7 linked regions of the Oryctolagus cuniculus genome follow. The protein of the gene in region 5 purifies or fractionates together with the protein of the main gene of each other region. This does not show direct contact. Links are inferred from orthologs where the notes say so. Each region holds a gene or a part of one and is shown on either strand. Other genes may lie near its edges.

Evidence for each region.
Region 1: the proteins of MOB-like protein phocein (region 5) and PPP2CA purify together in Homo sapiens (co-immunoprecipitation; 7 studies listed by BioGRID and IntAct, with this or other methods). This does not show direct contact. The link is inferred for Oryctolagus cuniculus from reciprocal best matches to the Homo sapiens genes MOB4 and PPP2CA.
Region 2: the proteins of MOB-like protein phocein (region 5) and SIKE1 purify together in Homo sapiens (affinity purification with mass spectrometry; 4 studies listed by BioGRID and IntAct, with this or other methods). This does not show direct contact. The link is inferred for Oryctolagus cuniculus from reciprocal best matches to the Homo sapiens genes MOB4 and SIKE1.
Region 3: the proteins of MOB-like protein phocein (region 5) and PPP2R1A purify together in Homo sapiens (affinity purification with mass spectrometry; 9 studies listed by BioGRID and IntAct, with this or other methods). This does not show direct contact. The link is inferred for Oryctolagus cuniculus from reciprocal best matches to the Homo sapiens genes MOB4 and PPP2R1A.
Region 4: the proteins of MOB-like protein phocein (region 5) and STRN4 purify together in Homo sapiens (affinity purification with mass spectrometry; 3 studies listed by BioGRID and IntAct, with this or other methods). This does not show direct contact. The link is inferred for Oryctolagus cuniculus from reciprocal best matches to the Homo sapiens genes MOB4 and STRN4.
Region 6: the proteins of MOB-like protein phocein (region 5) and STRIP2 purify together in Homo sapiens (affinity purification with mass spectrometry; 3 studies listed by BioGRID and IntAct, with this or other methods). This does not show direct contact. The link is inferred for Oryctolagus cuniculus from reciprocal best matches to the Homo sapiens genes MOB4 and STRIP2.
Region 7: the proteins of MOB-like protein phocein (region 5) and STK25 purify together in Homo sapiens (affinity purification with mass spectrometry; 4 studies listed by BioGRID and IntAct, with this or other methods). This does not show direct contact. The link is inferred for Oryctolagus cuniculus from reciprocal best matches to the Homo sapiens genes MOB4 and STK25.

Annotation. Positions count from the first base shown.
Region 1 is NC_091437.1:22,518,926-22,523,293, forward strand, and holds the start of PPP2CA (serine/threonine-protein phosphatase 2A catalytic subunit alpha isoform), read right to left. Parts: upstream 3,001-4,368; 5' UTR 2,867-3,000; coding exon 2,765-2,866; intron 1-2,764. UniProt on the Homo sapiens protein: Catalytic subunit of protein phosphatase 2A (PP2A), a serine/threonine phosphatase involved in the regulation of a wide variety of enzymes, signal transduction pathways, and cellular events.
Region 2 is NC_091438.1:55,569,545-55,572,908, forward strand, and holds the end of SIKE1 (suppressor of IKBKE 1), read left to right. Parts: intron 1-1,344; coding exon 1,345-1,446; 3' UTR 1,447-2,661; downstream 2,662-3,364.
Region 3 is NC_091449.1:6,440,970-6,444,879, reverse strand, and holds part of PPP2R1A (serine/threonine-protein phosphatase 2A 65 kDa regulatory subunit A alpha isoform), read right to left. Parts: intron 2,616-3,910; coding exon 2,501-2,615; coding exon of another isoform or gene 2,468-2,500; intron 2,391-2,467; coding exon 2,320-2,390; intron 1,930-2,319; coding exon of another isoform or gene 1,901-1,929; coding exon 1,766-1,900; intron 147-1,765; coding exon 1-146. UniProt on the Homo sapiens protein: The PR65 subunit of protein phosphatase 2A serves as a scaffolding molecule to coordinate the assembly of the catalytic subunit and a variable regulatory B subunit.
Region 4 is NC_091449.1:10,642,925-10,647,509, reverse strand, and holds the start of STRN4 (striatin-4), read right to left. Parts: upstream 2,849-4,585; 5' UTR 2,806-2,848; coding exon 2,524-2,805; intron 2,467-2,523; exon of another isoform or gene 2,410-2,466; intron 1-2,409. Other genes in the region: ribitol 5-phosphate transferase FKRP, read left to right, coding at 3,232-3,323, 3,987-4,048. UniProt on the Homo sapiens protein: Calmodulin-binding scaffolding protein which is the center of the striatin-interacting phosphatase and kinase (STRIPAK) complexes.
Region 5 is NC_091440.1:69,971,212-69,975,715, forward strand, and holds MOB-like protein phocein, read right to left. Parts: upstream 3,137-4,504; 5' UTR 3,127-3,136; coding exon 2,449-3,126; 3' UTR 554-2,448; downstream 1-553.
Region 6 is NC_091434.1:165,636,087-165,640,675, forward strand, and holds the start of STRIP2 (striatin-interacting protein 2), read left to right. Parts: upstream 1-1,722; 5' UTR 1,723-1,803; coding exon 1,804-1,932; intron 1,933-4,589. UniProt on the Homo sapiens protein: Plays a role in the regulation of cell morphology and cytoskeletal organization. Required in the control of cell shape. Calmodulin-binding scaffolding protein which is the center of the striatin-interacting phosphatase and kinase (STRIPAK) complexes.
Region 7 is NC_091434.1:286,613-290,522, forward strand, and holds part of STK25 (serine/threonine-protein kinase 25), read left to right. Parts: coding exon 1-82; intron 83-1,562; coding exon 1,563-1,708; intron 1,709-1,900; coding exon 1,901-2,015; intron 2,016-2,332; coding exon 2,333-2,404; intron 2,405-3,632; coding exon 3,633-3,769; intron 3,770-3,910. UniProt on the Homo sapiens protein: Oxidant stress-activated serine/threonine kinase that may play a role in the response to environmental stress.

The sequences.
Region 1 (4,368 bases), on a different chromosome or scaffold from region 5:
CATGGAAGACCCTGACTGAATGCTAAGTTCTAGGCTTTGGCCTGGCCCAGCTCTGGCGCCTGTGGGCATTTGGAGTGAACCAGTAAATGAGTGCTCTCTCTGCCTCTCAATGGGTGAATAAAAAGTGGGGTGGAAGTGACATCCACCAAAAATGATCTATTCTATGGAAACCTTTACATAATACCTAGCTATAAATATTTCCATCTTTCTGAATCTCAAACCTGAAATCATGGACACAACAATGGAGATCTAAGTCAATTAACGTCACAACTATGTTCCACAAAGACATGGAAAAACCATGAACACGGAGTCCATGAAGCATCAGCCCTCTCACCTTGGCACCCTCTATTACCTTCTATAGTCTGAAAAACCCCCACTACTTGCAGGCTCCATCTCCTGCTGCTCCTACCCATTCATACCTTTCTTTCCAACTCAACTCAAAGCTCCTTGACAATACAAGGACACTTCAAAAAAATTCATGGGGTCAGCACTGTGGCACAACAGGTTAAAGCCCCGGCCTTGCAGCACCAGCATCATATGGGCACCAGTTTGAGTCCCAGCTGCTCTACTTCTGATGCAGCTCTCTGCTATGCCCTGGGAAAGCAATGGAAGATGGCTCAAGTGCTTGGGATCCTGAACTCACATGGGGGACCCTGAAGCTCCTGGCTCCTGGCTTCGGACTGGTTCAGCTCCAGCTGTTGCAGCCATTTGGGGAGTGAACCAGTGGATGGAAGAGCTCTCCTTCTCTGTAAATCTTTCAAATAAAATAAATTTAAAAAAAGTTTATAGAGAAAAGAATTATAAGTTTATTTGGATGCAAAAGTTTTGCCATCCATGCAGTTTTTTCGTAATAGGCATCTTTCATGAACTTTCTGAACTATCAACCTTACATCACTATTTTTTGCTGCTTTTCATGCTCCCATAAACATATGCAATCTTGGATATTCAATAAGTGCTAAAATTTTAAACACAAAGAACTAATTTCAGATGAAACTGCATAATCTCCAAAGCTCCCAGAATACATTTTAATTCCTTCTTCTATAGACAGGAAATCAAGGACTATCTGAGTGTCTGCCCCGAAGTTAACCAAAATCACTCACTTAGGAGCAGGAAGAGGACCAACTCCCAACTGCTGGTCTTCCAACTACATCCCCGTCTCCCTTCTCAGTGTTTTCTTCACAAATGACTAGTCATCCAATCACTGACTCAAAGTGCAGTCCGTAAAGTTCTGAATCTGCAGTCAGTCAAGTCATCATTTATATTAAGCTAGAAATTAAGACCTGGCAATACACATTAAGTAATTTTCAAAGTCCTATTTCTAAATCTTTAAAAAGTAAAGACTAGCCTCATATGATCTGAGAGAATTTCAAGTCAAGAAACTGGAGATTCAACACACTGGAGCCGTAGGATCCAGCTCCAGCAGATGATGTGCTTGCCCCACTATTAGTGCTCTGTTCAGGCTCGGGGAGAAATAAATCTAACTTAAATTCCAATAGTTTACAGCATGATTTGTCTGGAAACCTCCACTACATGAACCTAATGTTCACATGGAACCACAAACAAGTCAGCGTTAACAGTTCTCCAAAAACTCTTTTCACTAACACACAATGCTGGCAGTACTCCACAATTCTGTGCTAAAATGAAATGCTGTTAATTGTGCAAAGGGTAAATTTAATATGTTCGTAAGGAGATCAGTATTTTGTGTACTGTGGGAAACTTAACAAAAATTAAAAATTACGTACAGCTAATGGATACTCCGTTTCCCCAATCCCTGGGGAAAACCAAAACAGATTTTGGTAACAGAAAACACAAAATTCAATGTTATTTCGTGGACAATATTCCACTCCCAACGCTTTACGATATTTCAACCTGAAGCGCAACGTCTGGGATAAAGTGCTCACTAGCAAGTATTACTACCATTTGCAGCCCAAAACGGACAAGCATGGAACTTTTTCAACGAAGAGAGCACAAAATTCGCCGCGTTTCCAGGTTACGTTGCTCATTTTTAAAAACAAATGGCAAAACGCCAAGTATGTTAGGCTCAAGAGAAGGGTTCCTCACTGCCCGGCTTGAGTCAGCATATAAATCATAGGTTACACTGACTGGATTTCCAACCCAGAAGCTCCTTATGTAGTATGACTCACCGAATTCCCCATTTCTTCCAACTCTGAGAAAGAAGTTATACTCTGTCCCCTTAGAACTACCATGACCTTCGCAGAAATTAGGTTACAGGCTTTTTTTTAAAAAAATGCTTAAAGACACTCCTCCAAGAGGTCTCCGGGGGCAGAGCCTGGGCCGGGTGGACACTATCCCTCCCCCGGGTGGCGGTCACGCCGGGGCCTCAGGCCCTCAAGCCTGCTTCTGGGGGCTGCTGCGGGCAGCGCGGGCTCCGAGACGCCCCTCAGCGCACCACAGAGGCCCACTCCCACTCCCGGGCCACGCACCCCAGCCCGCCGACCCGGGGGCCCCAAGCCGTCCCCGGGCCTGGCCACGGGGTCTCCGCTCCTCCTGCCACCCCGCCTGGAGCCCGGGCCCGCAGGCTCCCAAGACCCGGCGTCGGGTGAACGGCGCCATTTTAGGCGGCGACGACAGCCAATCCGTGCGCGGGAGGCAGGGGGCGTCGGGTCGTCCGGGAGCCGCCGCCGGCCAGGCCAGGCCGGGCGCCGGTCGGGGAGGCTCGGCCCGGCCGGCGGCCTCCGCCATGTTGCACCCTCCTCACGGACACCGCCTCCTCGGCGGCCCCGGCAGGCCGGGCGCAGCTCACCTTCTCGCAGAGGCTCTTGACCTGGGACTCGGACAGCTGCTTGCACTCGTTCAGCTGCTCGATCCACTGGTCCAGCTCCTTGGTGAACACCTTCTCGTCCATGATGCCACCCGCCCCAACCGGCTGCCGCTCTGCGCTGCTCCCGCGCCGCCGCCCGCACACGGGCCACACGCACACGCCGCCGCCGGCTCCCGGGGGGTACTTCCTTGGCCGCTGGCGGTCGCTCGGCGCCGGCGCTGGCCGCTGGCTCTCCCCGCAGTGCTCGGCCGCCGGCCGCTGCGCCTCCTCCGCTCGCCCTAGCTCCGGAGCTCGCCTCTGTAATGGCGGCTGCCCGGCGTGGTGACGTCACGCGGCGTCAGGAGGCGGCGGGCAGCCGACGGAGAAAGAGCCCGGACGCAAGCTGCGCAGCCACACGGCGGACCCGGGTCGGGCGCACGGCCGGAGAGGGGGCGCAAACGAGGGGCCACAGCGCAGGCGCGATGTAGCCGGCTGGAGACCGAGGCGCCTTCGCGTTTAGGGCGTGGTCTCTTAGAAAGGAGAGGCCTGGGGGTTGGGGGTGGGGGGGAAGACCCGAGTCCGAGCATGCGCAGTGCCCGCAGCGGCGAACGGGCTCGGCCCGGAGCACTACGCCCCGAGAGGCGCGAGCGCGGGCCCGGCGCAGGCGCAGTCGGGGACGCGGGGGTGTGGGGGTCTCCCGTCAGCCGGAAACGTGTTTCCTTGGGAAGGCCTCTGGGGTGCTGCTTGGCAGCCAGGTCACGGAGGCGAGAGTCGCGACCCCATGGCTTCTCCAGGGTGCAGGAGCGCGGGAATTGCGTGGGACTCCCGCATCTGTGGGAGCAGGAATGGGCGCGGCCGGCACCGTGTAATTAGGTCGGTCGTGGGCGGGGGAGGTACACCTGTCGCGTGGAGCCGCGCAGGGCACCTGACTCCCAGCACACGTCTGTCCTCGGGCCTGGGCGTCTCTGACGGCGGGCCCCGGGTCCTTGGCCCCCTCGACCTCGCTCATCGTCGCCTTGCGCTCCCGGTGTGCGTGCACCTTCCTCCTGGTCCGAGAGCCCTGGCCGCGTGCCGGCCACGATCCTAGAAATGAAAGCGCAGACACCCTGCGATCCGACCGGCCTTGCCCTGGTCCTGAATGCCTCCGGGGTTCGCGCAACCTCGCATCCCGTTTCCCCTACATTTGCAGAAATACTGGGCTCCTTGCAGGGCCAACTGTGTGCCACACGCAGGGCCTGGGATATGAAGGGGTCGTCCGAACAGGTACGGGGCCCTAACTTCATGACGGAGCCCATGGTGCTGCCTGAAAATTGTTGGGAATAGCGATTATGATGACTCCAGGAAAAGCTTTACCAAGGACAGTTAGCCGTGAAGGACAAGGCAAGAGCTGGTTCTGGTCGCCTTCAACCCTGCCACTCCCAAGCGCCCTGACTTACCCAGGAGTGCATCGCCAGCAGCCGGTGGCGGAACTGAAGAGCCTTCGTCCAAGACAACCTGCTGGGCGAGGCCCACTGGCCCGGCCTTCCCCACTAGTGCCTCCCACTAGTGTGCCCAGAAGAAAGCCCCTCGACTCCTCCCCAGACTGTAAAAAGACCTTTAGCCTAAAT
Region 2 (3,364 bases), on a different chromosome or scaffold from region 5:
TGTGTCCTACTTATTATAAGTTGTTATAATGGGCTTTTGAGAAAAACCAGAGAGCTGGACTGGCACAGTGGTGCAGTGGGTTAAGTCACTGCCTATGACACTGGCTATCTCTTTTGGGTACTGGTTCAAGTCTCGGCTGCTCCACTTCTCCTGCAGCTCCCTTCTAATGCACCTGATAAAGCTGCGAAAGGTGGCCCACGTACTTGTGCACCTGCTCCCATGAGGGAGACCTGGAAAAGGCTCCTGGCTTCAGCCCAACCCAGTTCTGGCTGCTGTGGCCATTTGGGGAATGAACCAAATGATTGATAAATAAATAAATATTTAAATTAAAAAAGAAAAACAGAAGGAAGGAAAAGAAAAAGAACTGCCAGAGAGAAAAAGAGTTCTCTGCCCAGCACCCAGCAGGAAGAATAAGACTAGAAGTGAAGTGATATGAAATGAGAGCAAGTGCTGGGAGAGGGATGGAAGTCCCGGGGAAGCACTTGGAATGGTGGAAGGTGTGTTGCCCGTGGGCTCTGACCCCTTGGCGAGGCTGAAGAAGTGCGGTGTCTCAGTGTCCTGTAGAGAGAGTGAAGATGAAGAGTGTAAGCTCTGTTTGGGAATCAAAGGGAGTGGCAAGTCCTAAGAAGGACTTCGTGGCTAGCTAAATAACAAATCACCCTTGTCTGCACTATTCCTGGTTTACCTCAGTTATGGATACAGTCCTAAGGAAATGTGGGACCAGTTTTACTTACTATTTTAAGAAAGAAAAAAAAAATGGTCATTGGACACAGATGTCAGCAATACCACATCCAGGTGACCTGGATTTGGACAAGTTTTTGGAGTTTTACGAACTACAGCATCTTTATCTTGAGTAGAATACGGATGTCAGCAAAGAGACCTCCCTTACAGAGTGCTGTAAGATGGCATACATAATGAACCTGGCAGGTACCTCCCTGCATGCTCAAGCACTAGTTCCCTGCCACCTTTCTCCTCTCATTTTCTAAAACTGTGGGAGAGCTGGAAGGAGAGAGTGAAAAGATTATTAGAAATTGAAAATTGAAGAAACAGTAGTTAAAACGCGTGGGAACCATGAAGGGTATGGCAAATGGTAAATTCCTCAAGGGACTTTGTGTTTTTTCTTCTTTGCAGTTTTAGTACTCAGTAAATGTTAAATTAATAAGTAGTCTTTTAGGAAAGTCTCAGCGTGTGTGTGTGTGTGTGTGTGTGTGTGTTTTGAATTTCCTTATAACCTTAAAATGAAAATAAGTTTTCTTTTCCTGGCCCAAACCAATCTGTCCTGATGCAATTTGGCAGTACAAATCCTGGAAATAAACATGTATCTGTTCTCTTTTTTTTTTTCAGCTTGAAAACAAGGAACTACGAGAATTATTGTCTATCAGCAGCGAGTCACTTCAGGTCAGAAAGGAGAATTCAGTGGACACTGCTTCCCAAGCCATCAAATAACTGAACTTCTGAATGATGGCTGGAAATTGTCTTATCAAGGAAGGAAGTTGCTGTCTTTCCATTGGAGTATTGTCCATTCAGTATCTTGCCTCAGACTTGATTTAAACTTCCCACGTGACAGTTTAGAGTACCAGTTAATATTGGCTGTCCACAAAACAGTTTTAGGTGTATTGGTGAGAATACACAGTGAATTTCACCATTCCTTTCTGCAGGAAACTACTTCTGATTTTCATCCTGGGACCTTCATTTTCTATAAGCTCTGTTTTCAGTTCATTTTTGTTTTCCACATCTCTAGAACTTCAAGCATTTTATTGTAAGACAGGAACTTTATTTTATATAGGATTGTGAAATACACTTATGAGGATTTTTAAAAGTATTTAACTTTTTAAATCTATTTGGCATAAACCTGGGTTTTTTTCCCACTTGACAGAAGGAATGCAACTGCTTAGAACTTAATGGGCAGATTCTCTTCTTTGTAACATCCTGTGAAGGTTTAAGTCTCTCTGGTGCTAAGAGTTGGCACTTTGTGCCTGGTGTCTTTACTCTTAATTTGAGAGAACCTATTGTTAGTCCCCAGGAAACATACTTGAAAAATCTAAGTCAGCTGTTCTCCCCCAGGGCAATGCAGTGGTCACATTGTTCAGAGAATGCTGAGGGGCTTGGGCTGTGTATGTGCACACTCACGTGTGCATGGTTAAATGCTTTAAAAAAATGTGGCTTTTCCTCTATTAAATATGAGTCAACATTTTTCAATTTTGTCCTAGTAGGAAATCCTCAATGCAGGCAGTTTACCCCGTGTGAAGAATATACCATAGAATTATTCACATCACAGTGCTTAGGTACTATATTTCTATTTATCTAACACTCCCATTTTATACTGAAGAACCACTATTTACTCGGGTGTCTTTCATTATTAGTACTAGTATTTGACTTTTGTTTTAGATGAGTTTTATTGTCTCCTGAGAATTATTACATTCATAATGCTGTGTAGACAACACGAAAGCAGCATTGAGATGGTGGACTAGGTTCACTCCTCAACTCATTCCCCTGTCTGTTTACTCACGTTTCAAATTTCTAAGTTACCTCATGTTATCTTATTATTTAGATTTATCAAAAAGTAGTTGGAATAATGAGTACTAAACTCATCAATGTTTTCCCATAACATTAAGCACCATGCTGCATGGGAATGACAGGATTAAAAAGAGGTTTTTGTTAGTTCTATGTGTGATGTAAAGTTTCTTTTGCACTGCTGTACAGAATTAATTCCAGTCTCTCCAATATGTCCTAAAAGCAACAAATCCCAGTAATACCAGTGGATTTTGCTCATCTACTATGCATTAATGGAGAGTTGTGTGTCACCTTAAAATTCATCAAATTTCTGTTTGATGTTCTGCAGAGAATTTGACTAAAAAGCAACTCAAATGCAAACATTTTTATCTCCATCCAAGACTATACTTTGAGTCCCGTGATTTGGCTTGATGTCCTAAGTGCCCTGAGTGTGTCCCACAAGTCCATTCAAGACACAGATTACCATAGGCCATATGCCAGCTGTCATGGTGAAATTTCATTGGAATGGTAAAGTGATCAAATGGCCCACTACACTGGGGGATAGTGAGAGAGATAGTGGGTTAATGCTATGAAGGTAATGGATAGTTAGAAAATTGAATGGGGGCCGGTGTTCTGGCACCACAGGTTAAGTCACCTGCAATGCTGACATCCATATGGTCATAGGTTCAAGTCCCAGCTACTATACTTCCAATTCAGCTCTCTGCTGATGTGCCTGAGAAAGCAGCAGAGGATGGTCCAAGTGCTTGGGCCCTGCACCCACACGAGAGACCTGGATGAAGCCCCTTGCTTCAGCCTGGCCCAGCCACAGCCATTGTATCCACTTCGGGAGTGGATCAGCAAATGAAAGATT
Region 3 (3,910 bases), on a different chromosome or scaffold from region 5:
TCAATGATGGCCAGCCGCACCCGCCACTTGGCATCCTCAGCCAGCTCCACGATGGCAGGCAGCAGGGACTGGGACAGCTGCCGGATGCCGATCACCTCGTTCACGCAGTCCAGGTTGGAGATGATGTTCAGTCGCACTTCAGGGCACTAGGACAGGAGGGTTCTGTGTGAGTGACTGCCACAGGGTATGTGTCAAAGGCTACAACTGGACAATCTCATCAACGTGTTCCATCAGAGGTGAAGACGGTCCGTAGGGACAGGCGTGTGACCTGGTGATTAAAAGCCCCACATCCTGGATCAAAGTGCCCGAGCCTGATGCTCACCTTTGGTTCCTGACTCCAACTTCCTGCTAAAGCGGACCCTGCAAGGCTGGGGTGATAGCTTAACTAACTGGGTTCCTGCCACCCATCTGGGAGATCTGTACTGAATTCCTGACTCTGGTCAGGCCTGATACTGGCTACTGCGAGCACTGGGGAGTGAGCCAGTGGATATGACAGCTCTCTCGCAAATAAAAAATAAAAACAGGGAAGTCAAATAAGCTAGTCGGCAGCCTTCCTCCTCCACCTAGAATGCTACGGCAGCCTTACTTCAACCTCTTCTTTTTTATTTTATTTTTTCATTTTATTTATTTATTTATTTATTTATTTATTTTTATTTTTTGACAGGCAGAGTGGACAGTGAGAGAGAGAGACAGAGAGAAACATCTTCCTTTGCCGTTGGTTCACCCTCCAATGGCCGCCGCGGCCGGCACGCTGCCGTTGGCGCACCACGCTGATCCAATGGCAGGAGCCAGGTACTTATCCTGGTCTCCCATGGGGTGCAGGGCCCAAAGGACTTGGGCCATCCTCCACTGCACTCCCGGGCCACAGCAGAGAGCTGGCCTGGAAGAGGGGCAACTGGGACAGAATCCGGCGCCCCGACCGGGACTAGAACCTGGTGTGCCGGCGCCGCAAGGCGGAGGATTAGCCCAGTAAGCTGCGGCGCCGGCCTCAACCTCTTCTTAGTCTCAGTGGTCCTTTCTAACACTGATCCGTTCTAGCCCCTCTTCTTGCCTAAATTCAAGCCCAAACTCCCCAGTCACCACCCAGCACCCTCTCATGCTCTGTAGTCCAGGCCAACCGAACAGCTAGGTGTGGTCATGCGACCAACTCTGGCCCATGGGATATGTGGGGTATAAGCTGCCGTGATGGGCCTTGTTCTCAAGAGGAGTGGCCGGCCACTGTGTGCTGCCTTTGCCTTTCCTGGGGCCTGGGGGACAGTAAAACACTAGGGCAGTCACCGCAGACACAGGGACTTGAGGTTGCCAGGGTTAATCCACTAGTGTAGGGCCACCTGGACTGCTGTGAAGAGCAATCTTCGGTTTTATTTAGGACACTGAATCCCGAGACCCCGAGTACGGCACTGTGGTCCTCACAGCACCTACAGCACCTTCATGGAACCCTGCAACCATCCATCGGCACGCTCCACTGCTAGTCTCTGAGGATTCTTTTCTTCAGATTTTTATTCTTTTTTAAAATACATAGTAAGAATATTTCATTCTTTTTCTCATATTCCTAATGCCCAAGATAAGGAGCAGCACAGAGCTGAGGACACAAAATAATGCTGACAAGTGAGTGACCTCTGTGTACACGGTTGTACACTCATCAGCTGAGCAAAGCTCTGGGGGTCTGTTGCGATTCTAGGAGAATCCCAGCTGATGTGAGCAAGCAGCTGGCCCTCCCGTCCCTTCTGCAAACCCGGAGCCGAGGTCCCGCCTGCACCCTTACCTCATCCTTCAGCTGGGCCAGGAAGAGGGGCAGGAGGTGCTCGATGGTGTTGTCCTTGCCCAGGATGGGCGAGAGGCCCATGATGACCGAGGCCAGCGCTGACTTGACGTGCTGGTTGGCGTCTGACACCAGCTCCTGCGAGGAAGAAGGGGTCAGGGCGATCTCTGAAGCACCACACGCCAAACGCACATCAACTTGTAGGAAGCCTCAGACAACAGCTTGCTCTTGCCCTGTCACTCAGAGCAGGGTGAGCTGACTCTGGGGGACATTCAGTTCCTCAAATGTCCCACTGACTCAGAGTTTGATGGTTCCTGCTGCTAGCAGCCCTCACCCCAATCCAACAGTTCTATGGGTAAGGGGACTCCGAGACCTCCAAGTCAACCCCAAGCCTCAGATTTTGCCTGCAATCAAGACCTCAGTGGCTTCAAACCAAGGACTGCCTGGTCCCAAAGGCTGGAACCCAGTTTGCTTCTGGATGTCCCCAAGCCTCCTGACACCACCCCCTCTTCTTGGTAGGCTCAGACCTGCTCCATTCGTCCCCAACTCTCCGTTACCTTGATGCAGGGCAAAATCTGGGTCATGATCACATTCTCCCGACAGTCGGTGGAGAGATTTTCACAGAACTCTGGGTGGGGAGAAGGAAGGGGGAGGGTGGGATGAGACCCAATGGCCTAGTCCACGTGCAGTCCCTCAGATACCCACCCGACTTGCTGTGTTCTGGTCGCCAGCACCAACCTTTGACCTTGTGGGAGGCTGCGGCCCTCACCTCGGCCTCACAGTCCTTCATCAAGTTCTGGAAGGCAGGGACCAGGTCTGTCTTGGTGATCTCAGGCCCCACTGCTTTCTGGAGCTGCACAGGAGAAGGGAGATGGGGAGTGTGAGAGGTCAAGTCAGTTAAAGGCATGGGGGTCAGATAGCAGGGGAGGGGCCCTGGGGTCACCCTGAGAAGTGCAGACAGGTGGATCAGAGAACAGGGGAGGGGCCCTGGGTCACCCCTGAGAAGTGTAGACAGGTGGAGCAGAGAGCAGGGGAGGGGCCCTGGGTCACCCCTGAGAAGTGTAGACAGGTGGAGTAGAGAGCAGGGGAGGGGCCCTGGGGTCACCCCTGAGAAGTGTAGACAGGTGGAGCAGAGAGCAGGGGAGGGGCCCTGGGTCACTCCTGAGAAGTGTAGACAGGTGGGGCAGAGAGCAGGGGAGGGGCCCTGGGTCACCCCTGAGAAGTGTAGACAGGTGGAGCAGAGAGCAGGGGAGGGGCCCTGGGTCACCCCTGAGAAGTGTAGACAGGTGGAGCAGAGAGCAGGGGAGGGGCCCTGGGTCACCCCTGAGAAGTGTAGACAGGTGGAGCAGAGAACAGAGGAGGGGCCCTGGGTCACCCCTGAGAAGTGTAGACAGGTGGAGCAGAGAGCAGGGGAGGGGCCCTGGGTCACTCCTGAGAAGTGTAGACAGGTGGAGCAGAGAGCAGGGGAGGGGCCCTGGGTCACCCCTGAGAAGTGTAGACAGGTGGAGCAGAGAGCAGGGGAGGGGCCCTGGGTCACCCCTGAGAAGTGTAGACAGATGGATCAGAGAGCAGGGGAGGGGCCCTGGGTCACCCCTGAGAAGTGTGGACAGGTGGAGCAGAGAGCAGGGGAGGGGCCCTGGGTCACCCCTGAGAAGTGTGGACAGGTGGAGCAGAGAGCAGGGGAGGGGCCCTGGGTCACCCCTGAGAAGTGTGGACAGGTGGATCAGAGAGCAGGGGAGGGGCCCTGGGTCACCCCTGAGAAGTGTAGACAGGTGGAGCAGAGAGCAGGGGAGGGGCCCTGGGGTCATCCCTGGGAGCTAACGCAGTGCTGTGGTGTGACCTCAGGCAACGGTCTGCGTCTCAGCTTCCTTGGAAGCAAAATGAGAGCTGCGCCTTCCTCAGGGTAGTTTTCCTTACAAATAACAACAGATCTCATTGTTCAAGCTATTGTGGGCTGGGTTTTCTGTTAGTGGATTAAAAAAAAAAAAAGTTCTAATGATACTGTGGATTCTTTTTTTAAAAGACTTATTTGAGAAGAAGAGTAACAGACACACACAGAGAGGGAGAAAGAGATCTTTCATCTGTTGGCTCATCCAGATGTCCCCAAGAGCTGGGGTTTGGACAGGACAAAGCCAGGAACTCCATCCA
Region 4 (4,585 bases), on a different chromosome or scaffold from region 5:
ATCTGCTTCAGACCCCTCCCCAAAGAGTGTCCCTCTCAGAGGTGCCAAAAACACAGGTAGAGGGGCCAGCGCTGTGGCACTGTGGCACAACAGGTTAAAGCCCTGGGCGCCGGTTTGAGTCCCGGCTGCTCCACTTCCGATCCAGCTCCCTGCTAATGCGCCTGGGAAAGCAGCAGAGGATGGCCCAAGTGCTTGGGCCCCTGCACCCACATGGGAGACCTGGAAGAAGCTCTTAGCTCCTGGCTTCGGATTGGCTCAGCTCCAACTGTTGTAGCCATCTGGGGAGTGAACCAGCAGATAGAAGACCTCTCTCTCTGTAACACGGTCTCAAATAAATTAAATCTAAAAATAAATAAATAAATAAATAATACCCAGAGCCACACCACAGGGAACTCAGCCGTGAGTGCGGGGTGGCCTCGGCGGCCTCCCGCACACACCAACCTCCTCTTTCGGCCTGGAAGCTTCTGCCGGGCGGAAACAGCGGCAGCCCCGCAGAGCCCGCGCCGAGCCCACCCGCGCTTACTCTCAGACTGCAGACTGCGGGTCCTGGGCACGCACGCCGCGGGCACGGAATGAACGCTCAGCGCTGGAGCTCGGGGAAGGTGCCCCAGCACAGGTGCGTGCGCGTGGGCAGCGCCCCTGGCAGCCCTCGCGGCCCCTGCACACGCACGAGGCACGGAAGGCCACCACTGCGGCCGCTTCTGAAGCGGGGAAACCCGGGATCTGTCTCAGCACCAGCAGCAGGGGTCAAGCTGAGTGGCTGCAGCGGGCGCTTCCGGCCGCTCCCCGTGGGACAGGAGGGAATCCCACACATGGGCATGTGCAAAGTCACAAAGTGGACATCCAGGGTGCTCCCTCCCGTTACACACACGGCCAAAGGAACGCACCCACTTCCTCTCGGACCCCAGAGCGGCTGCGAGGCGAGGGGCTCAACACAGCCCTTCCTGCGGTGAGTCTCCCAGACGGTAGGGCGCACGGGTGGGAGGTGCCAGAGACCCGGCTCCAGCGACCTGGGGAGGCCCCATGCGTCCCCGGCCTGGGGTCCTCATCTAGACTGTGGCAGAGAGCTGGAGAGCACAGACCAGCTCTGTCGCTCACCCCCTCAAAGCCTCTGTTTCCACTTCTGATCACTAGACTAACTGCCGAGTGTGACAGAACAGAGCTGGCACATAATAGGCGCTCAGTAAACGGCAGCTCTCCCGGTCGCTGAGTGAGATAACCCTGGCCCTGACCACACAATGGGGTGTTGAGAAGAGAGCGGGACACAAGGCTAGCCCTCACGGAAGGATTCCGCCCCTCCGGCCCCAGCCCCTGCTCCCACTGAGACGGCCAGGGAGCCTGGCTGCAGCACTCCCTCCCTGCCCGGTTCTCGGGGGTTATCAGCTCCAGTGCCGACGGGGGGCTCTGCTGAGAACACCCCAGCCAGGCTCTCACCTCCGGGCTCCTGGGGACACCGTGCAGGGGACAGGCGGCTCGCCCCTCAAGGTCACCAACCCAGCCACACCTCATCCCGGGGCGCACTCCTGGCCAAACCGCCAGGAGGTCCTTCCCCAAACACGCCGCCCGCCCCCACACTGCTCCCGCGGATGCAGCGGCGAGGGTACCCTCCATCCCTCTTCTTTGTCCCCATTCCGGGTGTCCTCATCTGCCGGACACCCCACTGCAGCTTAGGGCTCCCTACCTGCCATCCTACACCCACCTGCCATGGCCGCCACACCCCCAAGCTGCGCCTCCACCGCCCAGCTCCCGCGCCCACGCTCCCTGGGCAGTCCCCTGCCCTGTGCCGGCTTCCACCCCAGGACCCCTTCCCTGCACTCGGCAGCCACCCAGATGGGGCTCCCCAGATGCCTTAAGAGGGGAGGGGGCCCTCTTCATCCCGGGGCCCCCGGAAACTCTGTGCCACCCCCGGAGTCACGTGTCAGTCCCCTGGCCCAGACGTCCGAAACACACCCCATCCGAGACTCCCGGACTTCCTCTCCCTGCTCCTCCGGGCTCCCGGCCCGTAGGCAGCCGAGTCCCAAGTGCCCCAGGCGCCCCGTCTATCCCACCCGGACTCGGCTTGCACCTTGCACCTTGCACCTGGTCGGGGACGGGGGCAGGGGATGGGAGACCTGGGGCAGCGGCGACACCGCTCAGGTCTTCCTCCGCAACTCCTCGCCGGAGCTCCCCGAGGCGCCCCCGGGCCGCGCGCCGCCTCCCGCCGGAGCCCCCGGCCGAGCGCGCACTCCCACTCCCCACTTCAGCCGGGGTCGCTCCTCCGCCCCTTTCTTCCCGCCGGCGCCGGCCGAGCGCCGATTCTCGCCTGGGCCCCTCCACTCCCCGCCGCCGCGCCGCGGCCGCCTCAGGACCCCCGGCCCCGGGCTGCCCCCCACTCGCTCCCCGGGACCGTCGCGTCCCCGCCCGCAGCCCCCCCCCCCGGCCGTCCCGGCGGCCATTGCTCCAAGATGGCGGCGGCGGCGGCGGCGGGTGAGGCCGGGCCGGGCCGGGCCGGGCGGGGGGCCGGGGTCCCGGGGTGGCGCTCACCTGCAGCTCGGCGCGCTCGGCCTCCCAGCGGGCCTTCTCGGCCTCGAAGCGCGCCCACTCGTGCTGGATGAAGTGCAGGATCCCCGGCAGGCTGAGGGGCTCCGGGCCCGCTGTGGGCCCGGGGCTGCCTCCGCCGCCGCCTCCCTTCCCTGCCGGGCCAGGCCCGGGGGCAGGGGCAGAAGCCGGGGCCGCCCCAGTCGGGCCGGGACCCGTGCCGGAGCCGAGCGGGCGGCAGGGGGAGGCGGCGGCGGCGACTGCGGCGGCCGCTCGCTCCTCCATCATGGAGGCGCCGGGGCCGGCCCGCGCGCCCGCTCAGCCTCGCGCGCCTGCGCGGCCGCGCCAACCCCCCCCCCCCTGCGCGCGCGCTCGGCGGGGAACCGGGGGACGGGGGCGAGCGTGAGGCCGGGCGCGAGCCTCGCCCACCCTGGGCGACCCCGAAGGCGCGCGTGCGCGCAGGGCTGGGGGGCGGGGACGGGCGAGCCGAGGAGGGGGCCCGGGAGACCCAGGCCCCGCGCGCGGCGGTCGCCCTTGCAGGAACGAGCCTGGGGGCAGGGGTCGTGTTCTGTCTCCTTCCTCCCACGTCACCCCGAAGGAAGTCTTACTCTTTCTAGACCCACGTACCCGTGCCCCGGACAGTCAAGGGCGACCACCAGGGGTGGTGTAAGCGCGGACGGGCATCCTTTCTGAGCACCGGCTTGGCCGGTTGTCATGGTAACCTTTCTCCAGCACGGAGCGTCCCCCACTCCCACCATTATGGTTATGGAGCCCCAAACCCTCTGCACCAGGAGGAGGTTGCTAAGGTAACCTAAGCCCCTGCTGGTCCTGCCCCTACCTTCTTTAGTTACTATGGCAACCCCCTCTCATGTAGCACCCAGGTGAAAAAGACCGAAGCCCCCAAGGACACTAATCTCTTGAGAGAAGCATCTCTTCTTCATCCCCTCCCCCGTAGCCACCCTGCTGGCATTACCATGGTAACCATCTCCCCCTTCCCATCAGTGGGAGGTCCCTGGACCAAACCAACCAGGTGTTTTTATTTAGAGGAGAGACCATGCTGGAGGGCCAGTTGCCATGGTGACAGGGCCTGGACCATCCCCAGGGAGGTCAGAAACAGGCAAGGCCGAGCCCTGGTTACCATGGTAACAGGGCAGCATTCCCCCCCTTCCAGTGACCCTAGGAACCGGGCCTGCTAAGGTAGGGATGTGGAGGTGTTGTCATGGTGACCGTTTGTGTCACTGCCAGCCCTGCCTCTTCGGGACACGGTCATAAGAGAAGTGGTTACGGGTTGCCATGGTGGCTGACCTCCCTCCCTGCACACCCCTCTCCTGAGATGCCCCAGGTGGTGCCCGAGCGGATGGGACTTCGGGAGGAAGGACCCCCTGACCTGCTCGCCACCTTGGCCGGCGGGCACAGCCAGGCTCTGCTGTGTGGCATTGGCTGAGTCGAGGTTTCTGGTTCTTCCTCAGCTGTGCGGCTGAGCTGGGCTGGCGCCGCCCTCCTGGAACTCCTCCAGCCTGCGACCTAGGAGGTAAGGAGCCCTGGTGTCGCCAGCACGCGCGTGGAACCTGTCCTGTCCTCGTCCCCCGGGCTTGCTCCTGCTCCCGTCTATGCGTCACCTCCCTTCCCTTCTGCAGCTGCAGGGGCTGAAGCTGAACCCAAATCAGAGTTCAGGCCCCGGGAATCCCGTCCGGAAGGAAATCCGGGCCCGCCACACCGTTTCGTGGGAGGTGGAGAGACAAATGAGATCCCAGCTTCGCTGTCCTCCCCTTCGCTGTCCACCTCTGTCAAGTGAGCCCTGTTGCTCTCTCGTGCCCCCTGCTGGCTTCCTGACGCACCTGCAGGTTGCCGGCTCGGGTTTTGTCTTCCTTCCTGGAGGGCTCCGCGATTCATTCACAACACAGGGTCTGGCGCAGAGGGCACTCGATAAGTATCAGTTTGTTAATGAGTTGAATTAATTCATGAATTAATGAATGAATGTGCTTGGCAAACACCTGGCAGGCTGGGCTAGGGAGGGCTCCGCGAAGATGCACAGGGAGTTGGGCTGCGACCCAGAAAGGCAGCGGTT
Region 5 (4,504 bases):
ATAATGATACTTCCCTCCTAGCCTCCCTCCTACCTACAATCCCAGCCTCCCTCCTCCTTCCTTTCTTACTTTTTCTTTTAATTTTCACAATGACATACTTTCAGTTTATTTTATAATCACAAGCTTAACTCTCCACTAAGTAAAGAATTCAACAAGTAGAAAATAGAAAAAAAAACCACTGTTGATGTGAAAGGCACACACACACAGAGAGAGAGAAAGAAAAAGAGAGAGACAGACAGAGAGAGACACAGAGAGAGAGAGAGACAGAGAGAACTCCATCCAGATCTTCCCTGTGTGTGGCAGGGACCCAAGTACTTAAGCCATTACCTGCTGGTTCCCATGGTGCAGATTAGCAGGAAGCCAGATCAGAAGCAGAGTAACTAGGATTCAAAGCAAGCACTCCAGTACTGGATGCTGGCATCCCAAATGGCAACATAACTGCAGCACTAAACACTTGCCCCCTCCACCCTGCCTTTTTTTTTTTTTTTTTTTCTTTTGGAGTTTTTTTTTTTCTTTTATGATCAATTCCAAACACAGTACAGGGAAGATGGAATGAATACGAAAAAATATCATTTTATTTCCCCATTAAACACTAAGTCATATTATTCAAAATGTGTTTCAAAATCCTTAGCCAGATAACCAATTCCAGTCACTATTTTAGTTCTAATGTTCACCAAGAAAATAGTCAAGTAACAGAAAGCCATTATGAGAAACCATCAAGAGAGAAGAGCTACATTGCTATCTATAATTTAACTTAGTAGGTTATTCTCTCAATATTCAGCAAGTTTGCTTAAAAATTACTATTCCATTAGTTTATAGTGACATTAAAAAAAAAAAACGTATAATTTCAAACTCAACATTCCTTTCACCGTGAACATAAAACTTCTAAAAGATAGCTGTGAGTTGGGGTACAATAAGGACTGTGGCTGCTGGGACAGTACTGTTCAAAGCCAAAACGATTGGCAGCCTTGGAAAGGCATAAACTATATACACACACTCTCAGTATGCTACTATTTCTCATATTTTTTTCTTTGCATACTTGTCTCATAATATGGTATAAATAATTTCTTTGAAGACAATCAAGATGAATACATTTTCATCTTCATTTCAAAATAACTATTTTAAATGAAAAATTTTCTCACATTTGTTAAATATGTCTTAGAGATGAGTTTAAGTATTTTCTTCACTACATGTATAATTTTTCTACCCTATCTTAGTGCCTCATTACAATCAATTTGGCAATAAGACCTCTCTAGTACTCCATGAAAAACTGCATTCAATAGATTATAAGATCGTTACATCTGCACCCAAATTCTTATATGCTACAACAAAGTCTAAAAAATGTATGGCCATTCATCAACACCCTTGCATCAATTATTGCAAATAACCTCACATATGTATTTAATTCAAATTTTGTGGAGAAAGGGTACAAAATAAATACTACAATATTTCTTTAACTCTAATGCTGCCTAGAGTAAGATGAAAAGATTAATATTACTGAGAGGAAGAATCAAATGGCTTTAAGGTCTGTCTTCCAAGTAGTTAGAAAATTTTCACAAAACAAAGAGCCTATGCCAACACATCTTTCTTGTAGTGTAATATAATTGCTAATATGAGGTAAATCTGTAAGCAATTAATACAAACATGAGTATAAACAGGTATAAGTCACCACTAAGTCACAGTCTGGTGAAAGACTTCTCAGCTAAAGTATCTGGGGACAGGATTATGGGAAGTGAGAAGGGGGTGAACAGTTTTCCAGTGGGAATACCTTTTATGTGCCTTATCATTAGCATCAACTTATATGTAACAGTCCACTGCTGTAAAAAGGTATATCCTTTCCAAGTATGCTGGCCTAGAATATACTTTATATAGCATAGTAAGATTATATAAGAATTACTAATGCTTCATTTGCATTTATATTTGGATATACACATAATCATAAATGCATATCAAAAACTATAAACAGAATTTTAAAGTACTTTTATCTCATTTTGGAAAAGTTTACAGTTTATGTTCTATAGAATTTTCTATAATATCTAAATTCAGGGACAAAATGAAAGGAAAACATTACTATCTCTTTAGTAAATGGTTTGTGCAAGACCTCAAGCTTACTCATCTTTTTATATATGGGTTTATTTGATGAGGATTGTAATCCAATGATTGTTTAGCAGCAATTTTACCAAACTGTAAATTCTTTTATTAACAGGCATTATAAACAGATAATACTAATCTTATTTAAAAAACCATGAGTGCCACACCGGTGAATATACAGCTTATGAATAACTTAAAAAGTATTTCCCCTTTTAAAAGGCAACACACAGCATACAAAAACCTAATCTAAACAAAGAAGCTATAATATGAATACATGATTGATGTGTCTAAAATGATATATACAGTACATAATGAACGTTAATTATGTGATCAGTACATTTTTCTGTACGATTCCCTTCATGCTTCACTTTCTCCAGAAACTGAATTCTGAACTTCCTCTTCTAAAATTGGTACAATCAGGTTATCCTTGGACATCAAATTGTATTTCATCACAAATTTAGTAAACCGATGACACAAAAAGGTTTCATTTTCATATTCATCAAATATCTGCCGGTGATGAAAATAAGCATGCGAAAATATTCTATAAATCCTACGGCATACTGATCCTAGTTTTGCTACAGATGATTCCTTTATGCTAACCCTGCTAGGAAAATATTTATTGCTATTCAGAAGACATGCAGCACCATCAAGCGTGTGTCTAGTATAGTCTATAGCAGGACACTCTTTTGGAGTTTTATGAGCTGCACACAGAAAAATCCACTGTTCAGTTGCTGTCATTTGAGTACAAGTATCTGGATGGCATTCACTCTGAAGTTTGACAGCAAGTCCATTTAGCTCAAGACAGAATTGCCTTAAATGTTCATACTTCCATACACCTTCATCTTGGCCTTCAGGTGGTTCAAGAATTTTATCAATATTGGAGCAATCTGCTCTTATGTTCTGCTGAATATACTGCTGAACAGCAAGTGTACTGTCCATTTCATCAAAGGATTCATCAGGCCAATTATAGAAATCCTGCGCCTTGGTGCCCGGCCTGTTCCGCCTCAACACTGCCGTCCCCTCCGCCATGACCATAGTGCCAGAATCTCCACCCTGCCTTTTAAGAAAATTTCTATTCATCTGTGAGTTTTTGAACTCCTGTGACCATGCATCACTCTGGACTTATGTTGAGAACTGACCCCAGGGAGGCACGCATGGGTGCAGAGCAACCTGGTAGGAGATATGATGGTGCTTGGCTGCCACAGGAATGCTGTAGTCATACCATTAGAATCTGGATACACACAGAGGAAGTGAGGGAGGGATGCAGGAGGGGAGGGAGAGAGGAAGACAAAAAAGAATCTGGATATTCTTGCTAAGGTAGAGCCACCAGGAGGAATGGTTGCCGAGTGAGAAACAAATGAAAATTATATATATATGTGTGTGTGTGTGTGTGTGTATTATATATATAAAAGTGAGAACAGTAAATGTGTTTTTAAAAATTTTATTTTTTAATTTTGATTTTCAATTAGTTATAAGCAGTCAATGTAACATGTAGATACAATTCTATGAACATAGTGATATTGCCTTCCTCCTTCCCTCCCTTTCCCTCTCTCTCTTGCTCCAAAATCTCTGAAATATCCCAAGAAATCCTAAAGAACACTAGCCTTTGACCATTAGTTCTGATGTTCCCTGTCTTCATGATGCAGTTTATTTTATTTCCTTGAAAAGTAGAGTTGCAGAAAGAGAGAGAGGGAGAGATGGGAGAGAAAGAGATCTCCCATCTACTAGTTCACTCCCCAGATGGGTGCAAGGCTGGTGCTGGGCCAGGCTGAAGTCAAGAGCCAGGAACTCGGTCTCCCTCATGAGTGCAGGGACTCAAGCACTTGGGCCATTCTCCACTGCTTTCCCAGGCACACTAGCAGGGATCTGGGTCAGAAGTGGAGAAGCCAGGACTCCAATCAGTGCCATAATGGGATGCCGGCATTGCACGTGGTGGCTTAACCTGCTATGCCACAACGCCAGCCCCATGATGGCAATTCTTACCAGTGTCCTTGGCCATGGCTGTTAGTACTGGCATGTCAGCTCTTTCTCTCTGGTAATTACATTGGCAGGACTCGGTCTTCCTGTATTTTCTCTTGTGTGAAGCCTGAGACTACCCTTTCAGTGAGCTTCAAAATTTGCATGTTGGCTGCAAAGAGAAAAGCCATTTACTGCTTCCCTGAGAAGTTGGCTGGCTTTTTGCAATAATGGCTTTATTTGGACACATGTACAAAGACTTAGAAGAGTAAGCACAGTCTATCAGAAACTCTCCTGAACAACTCTGCTAGCATCAGACCCTTGAAAATGTTAGCAAGTGTTGTCAACTGTATTATTCTGAAATGAGCGTGTCTTTCCAAAAAGGATTTGACCTTTACCCTTCAAAACTGTGACAGTAAAAGTCATCACTCATCTGCTTTTCCCATCTCTGGGTCTT
Region 6 (4,589 bases), on a different chromosome or scaffold from region 5:
AGGTAGAAGAACCCCCAATAGGCTGTGCAGTGGCAGGCTTACCACACAAGCAGTGACGAGCTAAGCGTGGGTTGTGAATGTTAAAGCGGAGTGAAAATTATTAAGTGTTTAACAAATTATACCCTGAAAAAAAAATCTCCATAGTCAAATAGTTTAGGCCTGGAGCCAAGGACTTTCTTGGAAATTCTTGCCAGTTCAGTTCTGTTAACCAGTGGATCGTAACCAGAGATTTTGCTCCTTAGGGGATGTTCTGTAATATCTAGAGACATTTTGGGTTGTCACAATTAGAGGAAGGGTACTGCTGGCATCTAGTACGGAGAGCTCAGGGATTTGCTAAACATCCTACAATACACAGGACAGCCCCCCCTCACAATAAAAAAAAAAAAAAAGGTTTCATCCCCAAATAACAATATGGTTAAACATTGATAATGAAAATGGCTCTTACTCTTTGGGAGCTTATATCCAGCTTGCGGTAGAGATTGGAATGGGGGAGGAAAGGGCAGATGTCTTGGTACAGTCAGGAGACGTTGGGCAACAAGAGAAAAACCCAGAAAGCTTCAAGGAGTTTCTCTCTCTCTCTCTCTCTCAAACCTGCCTTGATCTGTCACCTGCTAACTAGCGGAGGGAGAGTCTGAGAGGTCAGAGTTGTTCCTAAGATGTGGGAAGGGGGTGTCCTTTGGGCCCCTGTTGCTTTGGGGGATATTAGTGAGAAATGCTAGGCCTCGGGGTCCAGGCAGAATTGGCGTGACACCAACACAGCTCAAGTGGGTTGAACAGGACCCTGTGCCAGGAGCAGAGAGGTGATAACCGGAATCTCTCCTCCAGATAGAGAACAGATGCTGAGCTAAGACAGCCTGACACCTTGGGAACTGCACGGAGTAGCTTCTGGGGTGTCCGGGGTGGGGGGCGGTATTCTCACCGGTGCTATTCGGAAAGCGCCTAGCGCCACGCTGGGCTTAACACGCAGCTCTAACCCCCGGCCCCCCATCGCTTCCTAAAGCCGCCGGGCTGTGAGCTGCGGTCAGGGCCCACCCATCGCCCGCAGCCTGTGGTTCTGCAATCCCGCTGCACTGCCTGACTCCTGCCCCCTCGCCGCCTTCTAGACAGCTTCAGAGCCGAGCAGACCACAGAGCCTCCTTAGCCCCCCGGTAACACTGAGCCCCTGGGGTCTTAGAGAAAGGAGGAAAGGCCTCGGGGCCGGGCAGCGCGGTGTCCGCCGCCGCTGACAGGGGCAGAGGACCAGGAGGTTCCTCAAGGGAATCTTCAATTTCAGTGAAATACAAACGTCCCCGTCCCACCCCTCAACGCCGGCCGCCCATTCCGGGGGTGGGGGTGCGTTTTCCTCAGACATCTCGGCTCTGGAGAAGGCGAGTCTCGCGTTTCCTGCGGTGTCTCCGCCGCTAATGGCAGAGGGTCCAGGTCTGTGGCCATGGGAAAGGGGAGCGCGCAGGGGAGGAGGCGGCCGAGACTGAAGCTCTGGGGAAAGATCGCGATTTGAGAGGTGTGAGGACAGAGGGACACCAAGCAAGAGTTCGGGAAGTGGAAGCTGGAGCCAATGTAGGGATCTCTGGCTACCAGCAATGCCGCAGGACTCAAAAAAAAAAAATCCCTTGAATGAGCCCCCACCTCCTCCTCGTCCCGCTCCGACCGGTCGAGCAGCCAATCGCACCTCGAGGCGGGACCGTAGGGCGCAGCCGTAGCCAATAGCGACGACGGGGGCGGGGCTTGGCTCCGGGCGCGCGGCAGCCAGGTCGCTCCGGGCAGAGCGAGCCGAGCCGCTGAAGGGAGCCGCTGACCAGCCGCATGGAGGACCCCGCGGCCCCCGAGACCGCCGCCCCGCCAGCTAACGGCAACAGCAACGGTGGCGGCAAAGGGAAGCAGGCAGCGGCCAAGGGCCGGGAGGCGTTCCGAAGCCAGCGGCGGGAGTCGGAGGTGAGGAGCCCGGAGCGCGGTGGTTGGGAGACTCCCGGGTAGCAAGCGGCGCAGAGGTGATTCGGCCTCGGCCCGGGAGCCCTTGGCGCGCTCAGGGGAGCAGGCGCCCGCGGGGTTCCCCACGGCCGGACTCCGGGCTCTGCAGTCCCGGCCCCTCTCCGCCGGTGTCCAGCTGCGGGCCGGGAGCCGTTTACCCTTTGACCCCTGCCGGCGGGGGCGCCGAAGGAGCGCGGTGTCGAGCGTACCGGACACTTTCTAATATTCTTCTCACTGGGTCGCCGCAGCCCCCTGAGGCAGGGGTTCAGATCCCAGTGGGGAGGGGAGGGTAAGGGACCGGCCTGAGGGGCGGGGAGCGGGCGGCCGCGCTCCCGCTGCGGGCTGCTGCGGCGGACCCCCTCTTCTCTTTGCTCCCCCTCCCGATCCCGATCCCGATCCCGTGCCCGCGCGTGGGCCGAGGCCGGCTAGGGAGCGCCTCCCGCGGGCGTCGGGGTGAAGCGAGACAGAATTCCGGCGGGGCCGCGGGGATGGAACTACCCCAGTAGACAGATAGGAGTGCGAATATCTGGCCCGTTTCCTCCGCTTCTGAAAAAGGAAATCCCAACTAGATGCAAGGAGCCAGTTCTTAGCACTCCCCCACAGGGTCGCCCAGCGGGCTTCCCTCTGCGACCCCAGGGCAGAGCCCGCACACGGGGCATGTTGGAGGGTCAGCACAGACCTCGGGGCCCTGCCTTTCCCGAGAGCAGACAGCTGGCGCAGGGAGTGGCCCAGAGCGCCAGAGCTTTGGGGTCAGTCAGGCCGGGGTTTGAATCGCAGTCCTACCATGTATCTATCATCTGTGTGGCTTTGGGAAAATTAGCAAACCTCTCCCGGCTCCAGTTTCCGCATCCGTGAAATGGGGCTAACACTGCTTATTCAGGACGTTGTGACAAAGTCAAAGGGAGATCAATCATTCGGTATGCAGTGTTCAGCAAGGTGCATCCGTCAGTGCCTAGTAGCGCTTAGGACTTTCCTACTGCCGCCATCACCATCAAGTGGCAGAGCTGGTGCTGGAAGCCAGGTGTCTGACATCGCGGGCCAGTTTACCATCTCAGTAGCGCCTCCCTGTTTCCAGGATTTCATGCATGCTTTCCATTTTGATGCAGACAAAGAATCATTTTTTTAAAGTACTGGAGGAGGTGAGATGATCCTCCCCAAGTTCTGTCTCTTGCAGAACTTGCTTCTTGTCTTCTTGGTCTTTGGGCACCCTGTGCCTTCTTCCCCCATGGATACACTGTTCTTGCTCAGATGTTTTCTTTGTAGAGGTGTGAGGGGGGTGGGGAGTGGGAGGGGTGAGTCATTCATTCATTCAGTGTGGGGGACACTTTTAGGTGCAGGAGATAACATCAGTGAGTAAGAAGTCTTTGCCCTTGTGGAGCTAACATTCTAGTAGGGGTGGAAACACAGAGCATTCAAATAAATAAATAAAAATTAAAAAAAAATCATTTCAGAGTAGTGTGTTCTGTGCCTTGTCTAAGCCCTTCTGAGGAAGAGGTAGAGGGCCCCTCTGGCAAATCCTTCAGGAAAAGGCTCTGACAGCGCTTGGCTTTTGCCAATGAGCTCAGTGTCCCGAGACTCCTACCTGCCGGCTGTCTGCAGCTGGGCTCTCCACGCTCGGACGTGAGCCGCTCTGTCCAGGCTCATGCCTACCGAAAGGCTGGCTTCCCTCCACCTGCCACTGCGCAGGGGAGCTGCTGCTACCTGTCAGCGCAGCCCCCGTCAGCGCGCTACCCAAGTGCCAGATCCGCTTTCCCTCCCCCTCTCTGCTCTCCTGTGGAAGACAGTCCTCATGGGGCAAGGCTTTCTTTCCTCCCTAGGTCCCTCGAGAATGGCTAGAAGAGGATTGCTGTTGGCATGGGTCAGGGGAGCCTCCCTGTGCATCACTGCATTTGTGGGGCACTGTTGATCCTTCCTCTGGTGGCTTAGTGTGTGGATACACGAAGTGGAAAGGGAAAACAGAATAGTGTGGGCTTACCAAAAGGGTTCACCTCAGACATCGTTTAGTCAGATCTCCTCCTTGGGAAAGTTTTGACTGGACTGTGACAAAATGAGGAAAATGTAGGGCATTGAATTGAATTTCTAAACTTTAATTCAATATGTGAAGTTTAAAGGATTACACAGTTTAAAACAGGCGTTTTCATACTGCAGGGGGCAACCTGTGAAAGGGGATCATCACTTTTTTTAAGACACAGAATAATAGGAAATTATCAGTGCATCACATATAGTATTAAACTTTTTGTTAAATTTTGTTCTGATTTGTGGAGGGAGGGCAGGGGCAAGGTTATGAAGTAAATTGTATTATTTTTCCAGAAAGCTTGAAAACCCTTTTTAGTGATTATTGTTTATTCGTGGATTCTGTCCTTCCTAATGGAGGTATTAACTTTTTTTAAAAGCATTTTTTCAAAAAAGATTTTTTAAGCCCATATTTATCAAAATAAAACACCAACAACCTTATGTCACTACCACACACACACCTTTTTTGCCCCTACTTGTTCTTTTTATTTATTTTTTTTATTTTTTTATTTTATTTTATTTTTTTTTGACAGGCAGAGTGGACAGTGAGAGAGAAAGAGAGACAGAGAGAAAGGTCTTCCTTTGCCGTTGGTTCACCCTCCAATGGC
Region 7 (3,910 bases), on a different chromosome or scaffold from region 5:
CAACCCACCCACGCTGGAGGGTGCCCACAGCAAGCCCTTCAAGGAGTTCGTGGAGGCCTGCCTCAACAAGGACCCCCGCTTCGTAAGGCCCGCCTCACCCCCTGACCCAGGCAGGCTGTGGCCTGCGCAGCTCCCAGAATGGGGGGGTGTTCACCCAGGGGGCAGCAGGATTCAGAGGTGACTCCCAGCCTCGGTGCCCATCCTGTCGTGTGCGTGGCCTCCCTGGGGCAGCGCCCAGCCTGTCACGTGTGTGGCCTCCCCGGGGCAGCGCCCAGCCTGTCACGTGTGTGGCCTCCCCAGGGCAGCGCCCAGCCTGTCACGTGTGTGGCCTCCCCAGGGTAGCGCCCAGCCTGTCACATGTGTGGCCTCCCCAGGGCAGCGCCCAGCCTGTCACGTGTGTGGCTTCCCCGGGGCAGCGCCCAGCCTGTCGTGTGCGTGGCCTCCCCAGGGCAGCGCCCAGCCTGTCACGTGTGTGGCCTCCCCGGGGCAGCACCCAGCCTGTCACGTGTGTGGCCTCCCCAGGGCAGCGCCCAGCCTGTCACGTGTGTGGCCTCCCCAGGGTAGCGCCCAGCCTGTCACATGTGTGGCCTCCCCAGGGCAGCGCCCAGCCTGTCACGTGTGTGGCCTCCCCAGGGCAGCGCCCAGCCTGTCACATGTGTGGCCTCCCCAGGGCAGCACCCAGCCTGTCACATGTGTGGCCTCCCTGGGGCAGCGCCCAGCCTGTCGTGTGCGTGGCCTCCCCAGGGCAGCGCCCAGCCTGTCACGTGTGTGGCCTCCCCAGGGCAGCGCCCAGCCTGTCACGTGTGTGGCCTCCCCAGGGTAGCGCCCAGCCTGTCACATGTGTGGCCTCCCCGGGGCAGCGCCCAGCCTGTCACGTGTGTGGCCTCCCCAGGGCAGCGCCCAGCCTGTCACATGTGTGGCCTCCCCAGGGCAGCGCCCAGCCTGTCACGTGTGTGGCCTCCCCAGGGTAGCGCCCAGCCTGTCACATGTGTGGCCTCCCCGGGGCAGCGCCCAGCCTGTCGTGTGCGTGGCCTCCCCTGGGGCAGCGCCCAGCCTGTCACGTGCGTGGCCTCCCCAGGGCAGCGCCCAGCCTGTCATGTGTGTGGCCTCCCCAGGGCAGCGCCCAGCCTGTCACATGTGTGGCCTCCCCAGGGCAGCGCCCAGCCTGTCACGTGTGTGGCCTCCCCAGGGCAGCGCCCAGCCTGTCACGTGTGTGGCTTCCCCGGGGCAGCGCCCAGCCTGTCGTGTGCGTGGCCTCCCCAGGGCAGCGCCCAGCCTGTCACGTGTGTGGCCTCCCCAGGGCAGCGCCCAGCCTGTCACGTGTGTGGCCTCCCCAGGGTAGCGCCCAGCCTGTCACGTGTGTGGCCTCCCCGGGGCAGCGCCCAGCTGTCGTGTGCGTGGCCTCCCCGGGGCAGCGCCCAGCCCGTCGTGTGCGTGGCCTCCCCAGGGCAGCGCCCAGCTGTCGTGTGCGTGGCCTCCCCGGGGCAGCGCCCAGCCTGTCGTGTGTGTGCACACTGCCCAGGCGTGGCGGTGTCTGCTGACGGGTGTCCTCACCCTGATAGCGGCCCACGGCCAAGGAGCTGCTGAAGCACAAGTTCATCACGCGCTACACCAAGAAGACCTCCTTCCTCACCGAGCTCATTGACCGCTATAAGCGCTGGAAGTCGGAGGGTCACGGCGAGGAGTCCAGCTCCGAGGACTCGGACATGTAGGGGCCCTGGGCTCTCCGGCACGGGTGGGGTCCCCCCTCGAGGTTTAGTCCCCTGGACAAAGGATGGGACGCGTGGCATCGTCTGGGTGCTGCACCCTGGACAGGGCTCCCCCAGCATCAAGAGCCTCCCAGAAACTCAACCACGGGTCCTGGGGCCCTGGGGGATCCCGCCCTCCTTGTCCTTTCCAGTGACGGGGAGGCCGAGGATGGAGAGCAGGGCCCCGTCTGGACGTTCCCCCCGACGGTCCGGCCAAGCCCGCACAGCAAGCTGCACAAGGGGACCGCCCTGCACGGCTCACACAAGGTGCGTCCTGGCCCGGCCTGGGAGGCTGGGCCCACTCAGCTCCCGTGGGCAGCAGACATGGGCTGGGTGAAGACCCTCAACCTGGGGCCTGGACAAAGAGCTCAGGGCAGAGTGGGGGTCTGAGGCCCAGGGTGGTGCTGTGCTGAAGGCGTGGAGCCCTGGGTGGGGCCTGTTCAGAGTTGACCGAGCAGCACTGGTGAACAGGGCCCTCAGCTCAGGCCACTGTAGTGTGGAGCCAACTCCTGGTGTCTTCCGTGCCACTCCACACTGTCAAACGTGGAGGGTGACCTGCCCTGTGCCTTGGCTTCCCCTCACAGCCAGCGGAGCCAGTCAAGAGGCAGCCCAGGTCCCAGTGTCTGTCCACGCTCGTCCGGCCCGTGTTTGGAGAGGTGAGGGCAGGCTGGGCCTGTGACGTGGTTCCCCTGGCGGTCTCTCCTGTTAGACCTGTGGGCGGGGCTTCCTGGGGGGAAGGACGGGAACTGCAGCCTGCCAAGGGCCTCTGGCATCCCAGGCTGACATGAACAACTTGTTTCCTGTCATGCTTTTCCGCCAAGAGTAGACACCAGCTGATCCTTCTGTAGGGAGAAGGCGTGGTTGTGGGAGGGGCATCCCAGACAGGGGGCCCAGGGGCGACTCCTGGTGGCCAAGTGATGTGTGTCCGGGTCTGCATCAGTCCCTGGATGTGATGTAGCTGGGGGCCCCCTGCCCCGGGCTGGGGTGGAGGTCCAGGAACAGCACGGCCACCCTCGGGTGTGATAGCAGCACCTGCAGTCCAGGCAGAGGGTGGCTGCCAGCCCCAGCCTGTGTCCAGTTGCGGCATGGTGCTAAGGCCTGGCCGTGTGGCGCATTTGGGAGTTTGCCGATTCACTCCCCCAAACACCTGCAGTGGCCGGGTGTAGGATGTGCTGGGGCTGGGAGCTCAGGCCAGGTCTCCCACCTGGGCCCTCACCACTGCCTCCCAGGGTCTGCATTAGGAGGAAGCTGGGGTCAGAGGCACCTTCCTCACCGGGAGGCCGAATGCCCGGGGCTGCATGCTTCTAGACCTCATGGACGGAGGCCCTCTAGTCCCCGCTCAGAACCAAGGCCCCAGACTCTTCCCTAGAAAGCAGAGGAGAGATGGAGCCTTTTTCTTTTTTAAAAAAGATTTATTTGAAAGGCAGAGTTACAGAGAGGCAGAGGGAGGGAGGGAGGGAGGGAGGGAGGGAGAGTGAGAGAGAGGTCTTTCATCTGCTGGTTCACTCCCCAAATGGCTGCAATGGCCGGAGCTGGGCCAATCTGGAGCCAGGAGCTTCTTCCAGGTCTCCCACGTGGGTGCAGGGGCCCAAGCACTTGGGCCATCTGCTACTGCTTTCCCGGCCATAGCAGCGAGCTGGATCAGAAGTGGAGCAGCCGGGACTTGAACTGGCGCCCATATGGGATGCTGGCACTGCAGGCGGAGGCTTTACTATACCACAGCACTAGCCTTGGGGTTTGAGCCTTGTGATAGAAGGAGCAGTAGGTCCCCCTGGGCAGTGTGGGGTCACAGGGCCTTGTGTGGTGCCACTGGTCGGCTCCTGGAAGGCTCCCCTGCCCTGCCCTCTGGCTGAGCACTGGCATCGGGCGTGGCTGTGCTCTCAGCTCAGAGAGAAGCACTCGCAGAGTGGCGGGGGCGTGGGGGCCCTGGAGGAGCTGGAGAACGCCTTCAGCCTGGCGGAGGAGGCCTGCCCTGGCATCTCGGACAAGCTGGTGGTGCGCCTGGTGGAGCGTGTACAGAGGTGAGAGCCGGGGCCTGCCTTGCCGTCCCCTCCCTCTACCTGTGGCTTCAGGCTGTGCACGGAGCTTCTCCCCGTCCCCAGCCCGGTGCGGCAGCCGTGCCGTGTGCTGCCCGCTGCTCCACCTGTGCGGCTCAGTCTGGG